2 linked regions of the Yarrowia lipolytica genome follow. The protein of the gene in region 2 purifies or fractionates together with the protein of the main gene of each other region. This does not show direct contact. Links are inferred from orthologs where the notes say so. Each region holds a gene or a part of one and is shown on either strand. Other genes may lie near its edges.

The links.
Region 1: the proteins of YALI1_D06638g (region 2) and YALI1_D09055g purify together in Saccharomyces cerevisiae (affinity purification with mass spectrometry; 4 studies listed by BioGRID, with this or other methods). This does not show direct contact. The link is inferred for Yarrowia lipolytica from reciprocal best matches to the Saccharomyces cerevisiae genes NUC1 and YMR099C.

What each region holds. Positions count from the first base shown.
Region 1 is NC_090773.1:901,087-909,378, reverse strand, and holds YALI1_D09055g (uncharacterized protein), read left to right. Parts: upstream 1-3,858; coding exon 3,859-4,722; downstream 4,723-8,292. Other genes in the region: YALI1_D09068g (uncharacterized protein), read right to left, coding at 800-2,557; YALI1_D09034g (uncharacterized protein), read left to right, coding at 5,890-6,924; YALI1_D09004g (uncharacterized protein), read right to left, coding at 7,200-8,292. UniProt on the Saccharomyces cerevisiae protein: Catalyzes the interconversion between the alpha and beta anomers from at least three hexose 6-phosphate sugars (Glc6P, Gal6P, and Man6P).
Region 2 is NC_090773.1:659,437-667,837, forward strand, and holds YALI1_D06638g (uncharacterized protein), read left to right. Parts: upstream 1-4,384; coding exon 4,385-5,332; downstream 5,333-8,401. Other genes in the region: YALI1_D06572g (uncharacterized protein), read left to right, coding at 1-2,700; YALI1_D06665g (uncharacterized protein), read right to left, coding at 5,718-7,127. UniProt on the Saccharomyces cerevisiae protein: This enzyme has both RNase and DNase activity.

The sequences.
Region 1 (8,292 bases), about 240 kb from region 2:
TATTTTGGTGTCACACAGTGTTTCCTCCTAGAGAGTAGATTGCGATCTTGGTCAGATGACATCATAATGAGACACATGCGCGGCTCGACGAAGCAATAGGATAATCGGCTGAAGCTGCAATTGGGGAGATAAGTAGCGCTGTGAAGGGGGATTTCTTCCCCAGGACACAAATAAAACCCCCCATGAAAAGCATTCTTTCGATCTTCACGCCACAGAAATTAACTCGGTTATACGAGGCAACCCCCACAGACACGTTTTAGTTGAATGTTGTTGACAGAGCCACCGAGATTAGTTGAGAAGCTCTCAAGATTCTTAATCTGTCACTCGATAATATGTCGATATGATGAGTTTCGGACGTCCAAATTGTTGGTATTTTCAAATTCAATTCGGACCCGTGAACGCCGCACAGACACGGACACGTGCTCTGCTTTGTTTTTTGTTTGGGTCCTGTGCGAGTGGTGTTGAGGAGGAAGAGTGCTCTTACTTGGGTATGCGTCTGTATAACGAGATGGTGAGTGTATCGTACCACTAGTAGCGCTACAGTAGCTACAAGAGTACTACCGTACGAGTGATCTATAAGGTGGCTGTATGGAGATAGACCTGCGCAGAGTGCAAATGATACTCTTCCAGTGAGACACATCTACACAATGTCTCGAAATAGTGCGGGGCGCTGTGGTGTTGTAGTCCAAGACCATTCCGCTTCGCATATGCCTTTTGGCTCAATGCGTCAGTTATGTTACAAATAAATACTTGGTCAACTGCAGTGACCGATAGTTGGTTGATGGTTGATACCTCCTTGCTAGACGCCCAACAACTTGCCCACAGCAGCAGCTCCTCCAAGCACAAACCGCACGAGAGAATCTCCCGCGAGGCTGCCAATGGCGTACATGTTGGGAAGCACCTGAAAGTCGCCGTAGAAGGCATTATCCATGGCCTCGCACGACTGGGCGTCGCCTGGAGCTCCCGCAGCCACGTAGGTGCATGGAGAGGCGCCTGCCGAGTCGGGGGTCTTTGGATCACCGTTGGACACAGGTCGGTTTGTGTGCTTGTGTCCGAGGTCTGAGAGACCGTTTGATGGGTCTCCCTTGTCTTTCCTCGGGTTGAGAATGCGCTTGGAAATCGTATGCTTGTTCACCGTGTAGGCCTCCTGTTGAGCGAGGTCTAGGGCATGCAGGATGCGGTTTGATAGAAACTGCAGAGACCCGGTTCGACCGACACAAATGCGCACGCCTCCTACGTGTCGAGTCAGAACCTCTCCGCCGGGAAGTTCTAGTTTGAGAACTCCGTCTTCAGCAGATAGAATCTTTGTGTTTGCCAGTCCCTCGTAGTGGCATCCGTTTTCTTCAAACTTACATTTTCGAGACGTTGAAACAACCCCATTAGTTGGTTGAGCACCGCTAGCAGACCTTTTCTGAGTTGCAGCTGCCAGCCTCATCCATCTGTAAATAGAAGCGTACTCGGGGTACAGCTCTCTAGGGAATCCTTTTAAAGGACACGGTTTGTCACCCCATTTGAACAAATGAAGCACTCTTCCGCCCTGCTTGAAAGTCGAACTGATGATGTCGGCAGCAGAGAAGCCAGATCCGACCACCAGGGTGACATCTGAGTCCGAATGGTCAAAGTGGAAGAGCCCATTGAACCGTTTGTCAATCAGCTCGTTGAGAGTCATGCCCGTGCACTCCGAGTTGTACAGCAACGACTTGGATGAGCAGTTTGCGTGTTTGTGGGTCTTGAACTGTGACGGTTTGTCGAAAATGCCGGTTGCCAAAACCACATTAGTTGTAGTAAGTCGGCAGGACGGACTTCTCTTAGGCGACGCCCAGGAGGCTGTTTGCGAACTTGGGCCAGAGGGAGATCCAGGAACAGATTCAGAGCCAGGGGTCATAAGACCAACCTGACCGTTGTAACTGACGGAATAGCCTCCCTTGCTTCTGATATCGACCTCTATTACGGTTCCGATAATTAGTGAGTCTGAGATGCCCACAATGTCGGGGTAGGCGTCGAAATACGACGCTATATCTTTCCTTCGAGGCCGCAAAAACTCCGGAGGTGCATTGCCGTACTTTTCTTTGTAATGCGTGGAAAATGGGTAGCCTGGGAGAGACAGCATTTCTGCGTAGCTCAAACATTGGTCATCAGGAGTGGTTGTAGAAGTATCAGATTGAGCCCATTGGCCTCCAGGATGGGTTCCGATGACCACGTGATCAATCGCCCGCTCGGGTTCGTGCACCCACGTGATTCGGCTATCCATTTGGTCCCTACTGACGTAGTTGATCTCGTCTGAGACCACCAGCAGATCCAGAAGCAGGTTGACTGGCAGCATGGACGATCGGAAATGCGGACCCTTGTCGATCACGTGTTGCAAAACGTCTCGGTTGGACACCGCGTCCAGCAGCGACTTGCCTCCCGGCCTCTTCTCATACTGAGCCAGCAGCCTGTGGAGTTCGGGATCAGGATGTGGCTTGTGGGGGTTGTAGTAGGGTATGTTGCCGTGCAGAATGTAGGAGAGACAGAGTCCCGCGGGACCTGAGCCGATGACTACCGTGTTGATAGACATTGTGGCGCGTCAGAAGTTCTCCAAGTCCTCGTCACACTGGTTGGTTGCTCATGTCGACATTTTGCATCAGAGTTTGTCCTTTAGCGCAACAGAGTTGGGCGAGCTTGCAGCGTGCAGTTGTGCGGTGAGTTATGCGAGGTCGAGAGATGTGGGGGTGAGGAACCAAGCAAGTGTTTGTGTTGTGGATGAGGGGAAAAGATTGCGTTTCTCTTTGGTTACTTATCCTTTGCTCCGGTGCTACGTGCTTCAGCTGCTTCAGCCACAATTCTGTCGTGCAATACGCTGCTGCAACTGTCACATCTGCGCAATTTGTCAGCCACCCTAAGCTCACATTCTGCCTGGTGCGAATCCTCCAAGCGTATGAGACATGTCCTTGTGGCGAAAGAGAGCCGCAAATCAGGTTGTGACAAACGGCATTTCGATTGGCCAGTCTCGAGATACGCCATATACAAACAGAGCTCTGTATCCTGTGTCTCATCAGCTATTTATAAAGCCGACTTGTAGATGCGGGCACACACTGCACACCCGCCAAAGGACCGCCCAATCAGCAAAGGAGAAACGAGTTGGAGTGACACAAGAACCGAGTGTTTTTTTCAGCTTTTTTATATAAGGACGGCTGTCCCGCGCCCTGGCGAGCAAAGTACTGTACAGTACTTGTACGATACAGTAGCACCGCGCGCCATCTTGGTGGGTCTTGGTGTCATCCATCAGTCAGCTTGGTTCCTGTGCCTAACTGTAATTGGCGGAGTCCAGTGGACCCGAAATCACGGCGTTGGGCCCGTCTCAGGCGTGTGGGGGTAAGTGGGGGTACAATATGAAGATGTAGCTGTGGACGTACCATGTGCAGCCGTCGTTATTTTTCGGGTTTTTTGCTTTGTGTCATGGAGTAGCCCCTTTTATTTCTCTTTCAAATTTCACCTTTCAAATTTCACCTTTCAAATTTCACTTTTCAAATTTCAAACAATGGATTACTTCCCGTCTTGAAATCGAACTGACGATACTAACTGTATACGCCGGCACTTACAGTACATTCGACATGATGCATTGGGTTTGGACGTGGCAACTGTTACGTAAGTGAGAATCAGAAGAAGTCGGTTAATTCCCTCAATTGGTGGGTTGGAGCGATATAACTCGTACGTCTAGGTTTCCTGACATTCAGCTATTGTCACATTTAATATCTTCTCGAAATATCCTTTCCTGCCCTCACAATAAGCAACTCTCTTGCAGTTACCCGCTACACTCACTTGCTACGCTACGATTACAATACAAGTCTAACCATCAACACTCCCCCACACCCCAACATGTCCGTGTCCCAAACCGATTCTACCGTGACTGTCACTATCGGCTCGTCCGAAGTCAAGATCCTACGATACGGAGCCACCGTCCTATCGTGGACCATTGACGGCAAGGAACAGCTGTGGCTGTCCGAGTCTGCCAAGCTCGATGGCTCCAAGGCCGTGCGAGGAGGCATTCCTCTTGTTTTCCCCGTTTTTGGCAAGTCCACCGAGGGCCCCACTTCGGCCCTTCCCCAGCATGGCTTTGCACGAACCTCCACCTGGGAGTACCTTGGTCAGACTTCGGAGAAGCCCGTGGCTGCCATCCAGTTTGGTCTGGGTCCTGAGAACCTGTCTGACGAGGCCAAGAAGCAGTGGGACTACAACTTCACTCTGATTTACACCGTGACTATCGACGACGCCAACAAGACTCTCGAGACCCGAATGTCAGTGGAGAACGCTGAGCAGAACAAGCCCTTCGACTTCAACATCCTCTTCCACACCTATCTGCGAGTCCCCGAGATTGCCAACGTCGAAGTGACTGGTCTGCAGGCCGTCCCCGTCAAGGATAAGGTGACTGTTTCTTCCTACGTCGAGCAGGCCGCCAAGGTGACTGTATCCGGAGAGGTCGATCGAGTGTACGAAAATGTGCCTGGAGCTGTCAATGTCGATGTCGAGAACAAACCCTACCTAACCGTCACTCGAGACAATATCAACGACGTGGTGGTGTGGAACCCCTGGACCGAGAAGGCCGAGGGTCTCGCTGATTTCACCCCCAAGCAGGGCTTCCACCATATGATCTGCATCGAGGCAGGAGACGTGGCCAAGTGGCAGAAGCTGGCCGCTGGCGATAAGTGGGAGGGTGGCCAGAAGATCAAGGCTCATTTGTAGACAAGTGTACAACGAGTTTCTTAGGCGAATGAATTTATTGTTGATTTGGGGGACCCGGAGGATTGCAACCGTGTCAATGGATACGATTGACTCATATTTCTGTTTCCGAGACGTAGTTATAGGATTTCAAGCTGACAAGCAACGGATTGTACCCCCTATCTCCATATATAACCAGCACTTCTAACATACAGTATTGTAGCAACATGTACTGAGCGGAAAGAAGTCAAGCTGCCCACGAGAGCATTGCTGAACAGTGCAATGTCATAATAAGAAGGATGTTAGTACATTATTCCAAATCTTCCTGTAAGAGAAACACATCAGTCATATTTACACTCATCACTTCCCAGGTCTGTATGCTCTAGGATAATCGACCAGCAATCGCCGTTCTGGGCTAGTGTCGCACCTCTGTATGCTCTGCATCATTCCTTCTTGCACATCTATTTTTGTTAGTGGGTCCATTGGAAGGTGCACATATTGGTGCACATATTGAGGCTTTCTGCGATACAGAAACGGGATATAATTATACCATTAGAGTCGCTGGGGAATTCTGCATTTAATGGCATACATTTTCTTCTCCTTTCACGGGTAATTTCGTCAGTTGTCGGACATATCGTTAACACCAAGTGCGCGCCTCCGCTACGCAACCTTGGTATGTCCGTCCATTTATCAGCACCTTATTTTTGTCCGCCCAACCTTGCTTGTAAGGCGTACGGTTCGAGAAGAGCCGTTACACCTTGCCGAAGGAAGCAAACGCAAAGCAGGTTGTTGATCAGAATAGGCTTTTAGAGGACATGCCGAATGCGAGGGAAGGTAGCAAGTTTTGGGTGAAGAGGCGGAGGTATTGAGATGGGGAGGTTTACAATCGATTTTTCGAGTCTTGTTTACTCGATTCGACCTTTTCCGCGACAAAATTGACCCATTACAGCCCGTTTTTATTGCTGCCATCTTTTTCTATCACTGTCTAAATCTGCTACAATAGTATGAACTGAATTGGAGCGAACCTTCATAATTGTTCCATGACATGACAAACTGACGGACATAAGAAATGCAATGTAGATGAAAGTTGACGGAGATCAAGTACATAGTGGAGGATATATAACAGTGCACTGCTGCCGGAAGATACCTCCTGACATCCCATAACCCACACATCCAACACACAAACACAACATGTCTACTACACCCACCACTCTCATCACTGGAGCCACTGGCTTCATTGCCGGCCATTGCATCGAGCAGCTTCTGAAGGCCGACCACAAGGTCATTGGAACGATTCGATCGCAGGAGAAGGGCCAGCGATTGGCCGCTGCTTTCCCCGAGGCCATCAAGACCGGCCAGCTGGTGTTTGAGACTGTTTCCGATGTCCGATCCGAGCAGGAGTTCAAGACTCTGTTCCAGAAGCACACTGACATCAAGTATGTGCTCCACACCGCCTCTCCCTTCCATTTCAACGTCGAGGACCCCGTCAAGGATATGCTTGAGCCTGCGGTTGAGGGTACTCTGACCGTCCTCAAGACCGCCAAGCAGTACGCTCCCCAGGTTGAGAAGTTCGTCATCACTTCGTCTTTCGCCGCCATGATGAACTGGCACGAGGTTGGCGACTCCTCCGCCGTCGTCACCGAGAAGTCCTGGAACCCCGTCACTTGGGACGAGGCTGCCCAGAAGGGCAATGTTGTCGTAACCTACCTGGGCTCCAAGAAGTTCGCCGAGAAGGCCGCTTGGGATTTCATGGAGTCTGAGAAGCCCTCCTTTGGCCTCACCACTGTCAACCCTGCCTACGTCTTTGGTCCTGGTATTGCTATTGATGCCAAGGCTCTCAACACCTCCAACGAGGTCATTGTCCAGGGAGCTCTCTCTACCAAGCCTGGTCAGGATGCTCCTGCTGGCCCTGCCCAGATGTGGGTTGACGTGCGAGACGTGGCCAAGGCCCACCTGTCTGCCATCTCCAAGACCCTAGACAACCAGCGTCTCATGCTGTGCGTGTCCAAGTTCTGTAACCAGGATCTCCTTGACGTGATCAACGAGAAGGTGCCTGAGCTCAAGGGAAAGATTGCTACCGGAAAGCCTGGAACCGGAGCTGAAACTGACAAGGAGGGCTTTCAGTTTGATAACGACCAGACACGAAAGGCTCTCAACTACGACTGGATTCCCCTTGACAAGTCTGTGGCTGACTTTGCTAACCAATGGCTGTCGTTCCAGAACTAAAACGTTCGAGAGCGAAGCCCGAAGAGTCCTTCCAGTGATTTGACTGACCCCATAACCACCAATAGATATAGATGAATGGATAACTTATAGAATCATTCAACTTAGAGATGATAGAACGCGGACTACACAAGTACAATACTGTACTCGTACCAGTACATACCATACACATAACGTAACCCAACATATATTACTAGAGATGTATGTACTCGTCGCACGAAAAGCAAGTGTCTGACTGCCTCTTGCAGACGCTCAGCCTGCGGTTTCGTCATCTGCTCTTACAACTTTGCCTTTTCTTGAGTGCCCACACCTCCACTGGTAGCAGCAACATTGCCTCTGATACCGCCGTTCTCAGGAGCCTTCTCATCGCCAAAGAAAACCACCGTCACGGTCAGGTCGTCTCGGTATCGCCGTGACTGAGGAGCAGGGATGCTCAGAAGCATGGACAGCTGTTCCCGATCGGCTCCTCCAAGAGCGTTTCGAATCAGGTGAGTTGCCACGTTCTCATCCTCAACAGTGGGCTTGAGAACGGCACCCTGGTGTCGGAAAGGAGGCTTCATGGCGTCCTGGTCGACTGTCAGATCAACCACCTTTGTCGAGTCCTTGCTGCCAAACATCTTGTCCCACATTCCTCCAGACTTGGCCGAAGCGGCGGTGGAAGACTCGGTGATGGGGTGAGTCTCCATCCACTGCACGACCAGAGACACCACCTCGTCGTTGGAGAGCATCTCGAACAACCCATCGGAGCCCATCACCAGAAAGTCACCACTCTTGACCTTGGTGGTAGTCACCTCAGGCTCAGCTGTGACGTAGGGAGGCGACCTCAGCTCCGGAGGCGTGCTTCGGCCGAAAAAGGCACGTGCCACCTTATCTTGCAAGTCACGTGTCCACTTGTATCGGGCGTCTCCAAACGCTCGGGTGGGTTCCAGACCGCCCAGAACTCGGCCCCGTCGAATCACACGGTCCTCTTCGCCAGGATGCTCTTTTCGGATTCGGTCAGCTTCTCGCTGGTTGGAGCCAGTCTGGTCGACAGACAGGGCACGTGCAGTCCATCCAGAAGAAGACTTGGAGCCGAGAACAGCACGAGAATCGCCGGTGACAGCAACTCGAAGAGTGTGAGACAGGGTATCATAGAATGCCAGCAGACCACAGGATCCAGAAACGGCGGGAGCCAGCGTCTCGGGAGACTGGCCCTTTTGGGGGTTCTTGAGCAGTCTGTTAATGGAGTGGATGCAGATCTCGTCATCCAGAGCCAGGAAGCCTCTCTTGATAGCCAGATCGATGGTTTCAGGGCTGGGAGTTCGTCGTATGTTATCGCCAAGCGTCTTGCCAGCATCGCTGTAGCCCGCATCAAGCTGTCGAATCACATAG
Region 2 (8,401 bases):
TCCGGCTGCTCTCTTTCTTTAGGATACATTTTCCGGTTCTCTCAGCCCGGCCATGCTAACCTGAAGACCGTATTGGGTATCTTGATTTCCCTGGCCAAGGACCCTCATCCTATTGTGCATTACTGGGCTCTCAAGGGTGTGGATTTGATTGTGGACTCGTCTTCTTTCAACCCTGGCTCTGCCTCTTCGCTCCTGTCTACCGTCACAGGTCTCTATGTGGCTGAGAACCACGATGAAGTTGCTTCGGTTGCCTCTCAGAACATTGCTGCTGACCTGAACAACGTGCGAGTTCTTGCTGAGGTGCTTCATGGTCTGGTGGTTGTCATGGGCCCTGAAATTGTGGTCCATCGGGAGATTAAGCTGTTGTGTGACTCTCTCTGGTTTGAGGATCCCACGCATGCCATTTCCATCGTGCAAGAAGCTCTTGTCTTCGACGTGTCCATGTTCGATCTTCAGGAGGTTACCGGCCGTCTGTTGGCTTACCTGACCCACGAATCGTCAGCTGTTCGTGATCTGGCCGTCCAAGCTCTACATCAGCTCGTCAAGATTTACACCATCGACCTCTCGGGTAAGGAGCTGCAGATTTGGTTGGTATACAATTCGACTCTATCCGAGGAGGTGGCCAAGTTCATATCTGCATGGGTGGAGGCTTCGGCTGCCGATTCTGGCACTGGCCGAATCCACTGGGTGCTTCGAATCCAGCGTCTGATGACCCTGAATCTGAACGCCACCTCCAGTGGTCAGACTCAGCATACTGAAGATGAGAGTGCTGCCATCACCGTTGGAGAGTCTACCACCGGCGAGCCTCTTCGATGGCAAACTCGAGCTCTTGCCATGGAGTCGCTCATCAAGATTATGGAGGAAGCCAAGTCGACTCCAGCCATTCTGGCAAAGATTGGTGACATTATCCGACTGGCATTTACATGCTCAACGTCCGATATCGTCAATCTTCGTCTTCTCGGTATCAGACTGCTCTCTGTGATTGTGTCTATTGGTGATATTCCCGATCCCGAGTTCCCTGATGTTCCCCTGCTGGAGCAGTACCAGGCTCAGATTTCCTCCGCGCTCTCACCCGCGTTTGGAGCTGATTCCACCACCGAGTTGGCCTCCAAGGCCGTGTGTGTTTGTGGCCAGTTTGTCAGTAGTGGCATTGTTAAGAACCTGGACCGACTACGTCTTCTTAAGTTTCTGACAACTGCTCTGACAGACACAAACACGCTAGAGTGTGTTGGAGACCTCAAGCCTGTGGGTCCCAACAACCAGCTGAAGCTGCGACTTGCCATTCTCGCAGCTTGGGCTGACATCAAAGTCCAGAGTCATCACAAGGATTATCTGCGTGGCCTAGTGACCCAGTACCAGAAGCAGCTGACTCCTCTGTGGATCACGGCCATCAAAGAGTATGCGCAGATCAAGTTTGAACCTGAACCTGGTTTCGACAACCTGTACTCTTCTCTGTCGGGTCAGTCAAGACTCGAATCATACAAGGACACATGGAAAGTGATTGTGCATGCCGTTTCGTCTGTCCCCGACGAGCAGGCGTCGTTTTTCTTTGTGCTGTTTGGTATCTGTTTCGAATACCTGACCCATTCCTCTGATCTGGAGATTTTGCATACTCTCCACAATGTCTGTGTCTCGGCTGGTAATCGCGTTTTTGAGCCTTCCATCTTCTCTGAGCTGCTTGATCTGTTTGATCGTCTTATGCTGACAGTTTCTCTTGAAGAAAAGGCAGTTTTGGCCAAGATTTGCATGCGTCTTTGTGTGTCCGGAGCCTCCCGAACCTCTTCCTCTGACGACTGGGACCACATTACACAGCTGTTTGAGCTTCTTCGAGTGTGCATGGTCGGATTGGGAGGGGTCTTGCCTATTTCCGAGACTCCTGTCAAGTCATACCCTCAAGCTGAGCTCGCTCAATTTGCTCAGGAGACCTTCACGTCTCTATCTGCGATGCTCCAGGCCTTCCCTCCTATTGTGCAGGCCGATCTGGTGGAGGTTTTTGCTCACATCTACCTGAGTATTCTGTCTACCGCCGAGACCCCCATTCTGGCGTACATTCAGTTCCTGCGTGACATTTGTGACGCCATGGTTACCGTGGGTGCTCAGGAGGACATCTCAGCTCTTGTCACTGGCTTCGTGCGGGAGCTCGTGTCAAAGCACTCTGGTTCTCAGAGTGTCATTTCTCTGACAACCGTCATTACCAAGGTTCTTAACGTGCAGCTCAATCATTCGACCATTTCCGACATTGCTAGCAAGTACATTGAGCTGGTCGACAGTGGCGATATGCAGACTGCTCTTGGATGTATTTCCGCGGTGATGGGTGTGTCCAACTCGTCTCCAGCAGCTCGAAACCTGACTTTGGAGCTGATCCCCCACCTAGTGAAGCGTCTCGAAGGTACGGAAACGCGTGCTCAGATTGTGGACTTGCTGTTCAACTATTCTGTAAACCATGCTTCCACCGGCTCCTTCTCCATCATCATGCCCATTCTTGTCTGGCATGCTTCTACGTCTTCTCGCTACGCCAACGAGAAGCTGTTGGAGCTGGCAGGCAAGGACCAGCAGATTTTCCGATCTGTTGTGCAAGCTTTGAGTCCTAGTCAGAAGCAGGTATTGGAGCAGACCTTGCGAGGAGCCCAGGATGATGACGACGACGACGACGACGGCGAATATGAGGAGCCTCAGATTCAGCTCAAGTCCTTCGCATAAGTAGAGTAGGAGTGAGTGGCAGTTGGTCACTAACAGTACAGTAGAAAGATAGAACTATGTACGATGGCATTAACAATTTTTTAAAATATGAATTTACGATGAGTGTGGTAAAATATTGCGACAGGTCTCTCTGTTTTGCGTGTCTGCAATTTTGAATGAGTGGCAGGCACAAATTAAGCTCAGCTCCGTTCCCGACTGTAAGCATGCAGGACTGCATTGCACACGTCATTTGACTTTTTTAACAGAGTATATGTTGAATAGAATTTTAAATAAGGTTGAAAGTGTGCATGAATCTAGCCTGTCGATTTACACCACTAATTCCCGCGCGAGACGAATTAATTGCCATTTTTTTGACCTTATTGGTATTTGAGTTTCTAGTTGAAATTGGAGGGGATTTCAGCTAGAAACTCTTGTCGAATGACCGGAGGAAAGAGTTGATTGTTTTGTTATTCTCTTAATGTCTCGTTGTGGCGTGTTTTTTATTTGTTACATCGGGCCACAGTACGAATACCAGGTTGGTCATGTTGTCCGGTTCAGATGATCTTTCGGTGGATGTTGAAGGGTCCGAGTGTGTTGAACGCGGTGTGTGGTTCTTGTATGTTAGATATAGGATTACAGGGGGTAGTTGCTGTGTTATTAGTGACATGGGACTGGTAGGCTGAGTAGTGTGAGGATTATTTGCTCACTTTTCGTGTTTTTGAGAGGGAAATTACAGAACTTGTACGGGGTCCCAAGCACTCCTACTCGTATTAAGTTTGGTCACTGGGCAGAAAGTATTTCGTTAGATACGAGCTCCGCTTATGAGTAGAGTATGATGCTATGACCGTACAAGTACCAATGGTCATTTATGGCTATTGAAAATACAGTACCAGGTATTTTTGCTGTAGAGTGCATCATTCAGGGGTTTTATTAGATGCGAACTGTGAATTCTGATTTACAGAATTATACAAGTACAAGTACAGTATTATTTTTTTCTGCATGTACAAGTATATGACTGGGGAAGGGGTGAAAATTAGTTGGGCTTGTACTTGAGTTTGACGAGAATCGAAAAAAAGACAACCAGGAAGCAACCAGTGACTAGAATTAGAAATAAATAGCGGTTAACATGCGTAAATTGCAATTGTTCTTCGTCAAGTCACAGGTCTGGTCCCCTTTGCCTTGCACTTCACGTCTCACGGTGCTTGAACGCTGCACCCCTGATTCGTGCACATCTACAGTATAACAGCTTACTCATATAGCAGGTACAAGTACCGAGAAGTCAACTTTAGACGACTTACAAGAGAGGTCAAGAACCAGCAGAATCTCGTCAAAGTGAGATTGCACGTACAAATTATTGTGGAGGTCAAAATGAACTTGCAGGCAGTCACGTATTGCACTAACTGGTTTCGTCATACTGTAAAACTCTCACTCTCATCACCACTGGTCAGATCCACGCGTTGTATCTCTGTCTTCCAATTGGCTTGTCCACCTAATGAGAGCTGGCACTCGGACTGTACCAGGTGGTCACATCACCATTCATTCTTGTATCCATCACTAGACCCCAGGTCCCCCGTCTCTGATCCTCTTTAAATTAACGCCTATCAGATGCTCAAGACGCGCCCAAACTCTACGATCAAACTTTGGCTGTACATAAACCCTTGATCTCAGACTACAGCCTCAGCACGGTACAGTACTCTCTTTCGACATGTCCAAAATCGCAGCTTCCATCGCAGCTATTGCCGGCACCGGTCTGGCGGCCCATCTGTGGGCGGACTCGCCCAGAGCGTCTCTCGACGTGTTCAACGGCTCAACCCCGGCGGTTCCAGTCAAGCCAGGGGAGTTCTTCAAGTACGGCTTCCCCGGAGCAGCCCACGACATTGCCTACCGACAGGAGTTTGTGTCGTGCTACGACCGAGAACGACGTAACCCCATGTGGGTCGTGGAACACATCACCCCGGACTCCATCAAGTCCAACAAGGGCGAGGGAGCCCCGGATCGAAAGTTCTCCAACTTCAAGGAAGATCAGGAGGTGCCGCTCAAGTTCCGGGCTCGGCTGGCCGACTACTTCCGATCGGGCTACGATCGAGGCCACCAGGCACCCGCAGCTGACGCAAAGTTCTCCCAGAAGGCCATGGACGAGACCTTCTTCCTGACCAACATTGCCCCCCAGGTCGGAGACGGATTCAACAGAGACTACTGGGCCCACCTGGAGGACTTTTGCCGACGGCTGACCAAGCAGTACGGCAGCGTGTACATTGTGACCGGACCGCTGTACCTGCCTAAGAAGTACCCCGATGGCAAGTACCGAGTGTCGTACGAGGTGATTGGTAACCCCCCCAACGTGGCTGTCCCCACACACTTTTTCAAGATTGTGCTGGCCGAGAAGCCCGTCAAGAATCCCGGAACCAGTGACGTGGCTGTTGCTGCCTTTGTGCTCCCTAACGACGTGATTCCCAACGAGACCAAGCTTACCTCGTTTCAGACCCCCGTGGATGCCATTGAGCGGTCCACCGGAGTCGAGTTCCTCAACAAGATCACCGTCAAGCAGAAGGACCTGTGTCGAGAAGTCGACTGCTCCATTGTCGTACGAGACTTTACCAAGGCCCTCCCTGCCCCTAACGGGTTGCTGGCTCTTCCCGCCCCTGAAAAGTAGCCTACTGTATATAGTCAAAGAGTGTAGAACATATATCATCATGGTCGCTGTGTTGAGTCATACTCGATGTTTCGGAAGAACTGGAACTATTACTTGTGTGATAACGGGGGAAATGTGCCCTAGAGCTCGTAGAAGATGGCTTCATACGCTACACTGTCCAACCACCTCTCACTTGTGCTACGATCATAAAGCCATGCAAGTGCAATATATTAGTTCCTAACTACTTGTAGTCCCCACTACAAGAGGTAGTTTGTCAAGAGTCCCAGCGACAATTGCTGAGAACATGGCATGTATCTGTTGAGAGCGAGAGTTAGAAGCGCTCATCGAAACCCCCTACTTCGTAGTGCTGCTGCCTACCCTCGCTACGTTGAGCTCCGCTCTCCAGCTAGGCGACAATCCTCAGCACCTCTGCCTTCAATGTTCGCATGTTCACCAGTACCACCTCTCCCGTCTCATCAAACCGCGGAACTGCCACCAGACGCACTGACACTCCGTCATGCTTGACAACACTGGTCTGGAACTCGTCCTGGTTGCCGCAGAAGTACAGGTGGGGAGTTTCCTTGATGATGAAGGGATCGTCATCTCCATAAGGATAGCAAGTCAGGGTATCTGGGGCAGTGGGACACAAGTGCCGCCAGGCAAGCGTATGCTCCATGATATCCAGAATATCGTCTCGTCCTTCGATCAGATATTTGTAGATGTCCGACACGTTTTGTCCCGAGGTTCCCAGCACCTTGAGAGGCGCCTCGTCGGTTGAAAAGTCCCACCAGTAGGGGTTGGAAACAGACCCAAAGGTGGCCTTTTTGAACTTGCGGCTCTGAGGGAACATGGACAGATGCAGCGGCTGCTGAGGAAGCGACATGTTGCCGGGATCGTCGTTTCCTGCCATGATATCAACAGAGATGGATGGCAGCAATTGTGCAATGTACTCGTCAACGCGAGCCATGGGCTTGAAGGCGTCGAGGTCCACGGTTCGAGATAGTGTGTCGATAACGGGTCTTTCTGACTCCAACGAGCAGTTGTTTCCGGCCATAATGAACCGCGAAATGTTTTTGGGCTTTACCAGTCCATCTTTTGCACCATCTTCCTCAAGCAGCCCCTGGAGATATTCTGCCAGAAGCACGTGTTTGTAATCCGTCTTCTTCTGGCCAATGTACAGACCAGAAGCAAGACAAATGTATGTGTCTTCAGGAGTATCATTGTCAGCCATCTCAACGTCTTCTCCGTCATTGACTCCACTCAGAGGTCGATAAATCTGTTCGGGAAAGCCGCCCCAGACCACATCCACGACCGTGAAGCGTCCGTTTTCGCCTGCCGTGCCTAGTACTCCACAAACAACGCCTGTGATGAGCATGAACTCCTGCACCTTTGGTCCCACGAGCGTGATTCGACCGGAGCTGTCCTCCAGCTGAATCGACGAATCGTCCTTGTGTCCACCGTCCTCACAATCGCCCTGAGGGTCCACGTACTTGGGCTTCTTGCCCGGAGGAGCTCCCCAATGGCTGCGGGTCACCTCCTCCAACATGCTGGGTTTGTATTTCATGTCCTTGAACAGTGTGCCGACCACAAACACCGTATCCCCAACAAGAACGTCCAAACACTTGTTGAGGTACTTGACGTTCTTATCAGCCCATTTGGAAGTAGCAGCATCCAGCACCTGGCTCATGAGCTGGTGCAATCGCATGTAGTAGATTGGCGCATACTGACGGTTGTAGTTGCGTTTTGTGATGGGCAACGTGAAGCCATCATTGAGCGAGGTGGCAGTAGTGGGCAGATTTGAACGTATCTCCGGCATGCTGAAAGTGTCGAGTTCTGGTATAGAAAGCTGGAGCAGTATTTCTCGATGGATCAAAATCAAAAGCGTGTAAATTGAACTTTAAAAAGAACCCAAAACCCGTGTACGCGAAAAGAGGGTAAGTAGAAGGAGATGCTGGAGCATGGTAGAGGACGATAGCTAGAGGACGATGAACGTCTATACGCAGTTCTTGAGTTGTACTTTGTATGTAGATATAGTTTCAGAGCGATTGAAGTACTGGATACCACGTTATGGCTGGGATGTTGAGGGAACTCCTATCAACTATGAAAGACGCGTTTAGTTGATATCTTTGTTAAAGCAATTATTTTCAGAGTAGAGCTTTCCGGCGATACTCCAACTCGTAGGAACTCTCGGGGAGCGGCCCCAAAAGATGTAGAAGAATAGGATATAACTGAACCATTACTGTAGCCTGCTATTTCAACATTCTCTTGCGCTGATACGGTCTAGCGGTCTCGCAGTGCTGAGGAAGACCTCACGAACACAGGCAAAGTTGAACGTTGGTATATTTATGAGAAGAAAGAGGAACCATGAGCTGTAATGCTGTCAAAAAGTATCAGAAGCTGTCAATTGTTGGGAATCTGGGCCCCTCTCTTCCCCATGGGACGCGCCATGAATCAACATAGAGGAAGTCGGCAGGTTCTTGTGTTATAGGAGTCACACTGGACGGGCAAAAGGAGACAAGGAAGTACAAACACTTCAAATAGGTACTTCTTTGACGCCATTATTATTGATGAAGTACAAACAAACGAGACTAATAGTCTCGGTAACCCCTAAAAAACACTTCATCATACATCCAACAGTTCGCACAGTAATCAACCACATCACGTGAAACGAGAAATATACATACAAAAGAGGACCAAAAAGATGGCGACATCCGCAGGATTCGAACCTACGCGGGGAAACCCCAAGAGATTTCTAATCTCTCGCCTTAACCGCTCGGCCAGGATGCCATGTGTGGACGGGGTTGGGTTGGTGAGCTAGCTCGAGAGACGTGATTAGTAAGCCCGCCAGTAGCTGAAGATCAGAACTATTGGAGATGATCAGAGAGTCGCAAAAACAGCTTATCAAAATACTTGTTGTTGATTTCGTGAAATGCCAGATTCGGTAAGACTCAGGAGGAGGGAACACATGGCATTCTACGTGACCCCTAAAGAATAAACGGATGTATATATAGAATATCATACCTGTACAAGCACAAGGAGAAGTACTATATAGCTCTCCAATGAACTACCTGTATCTACTAATGCCAACTC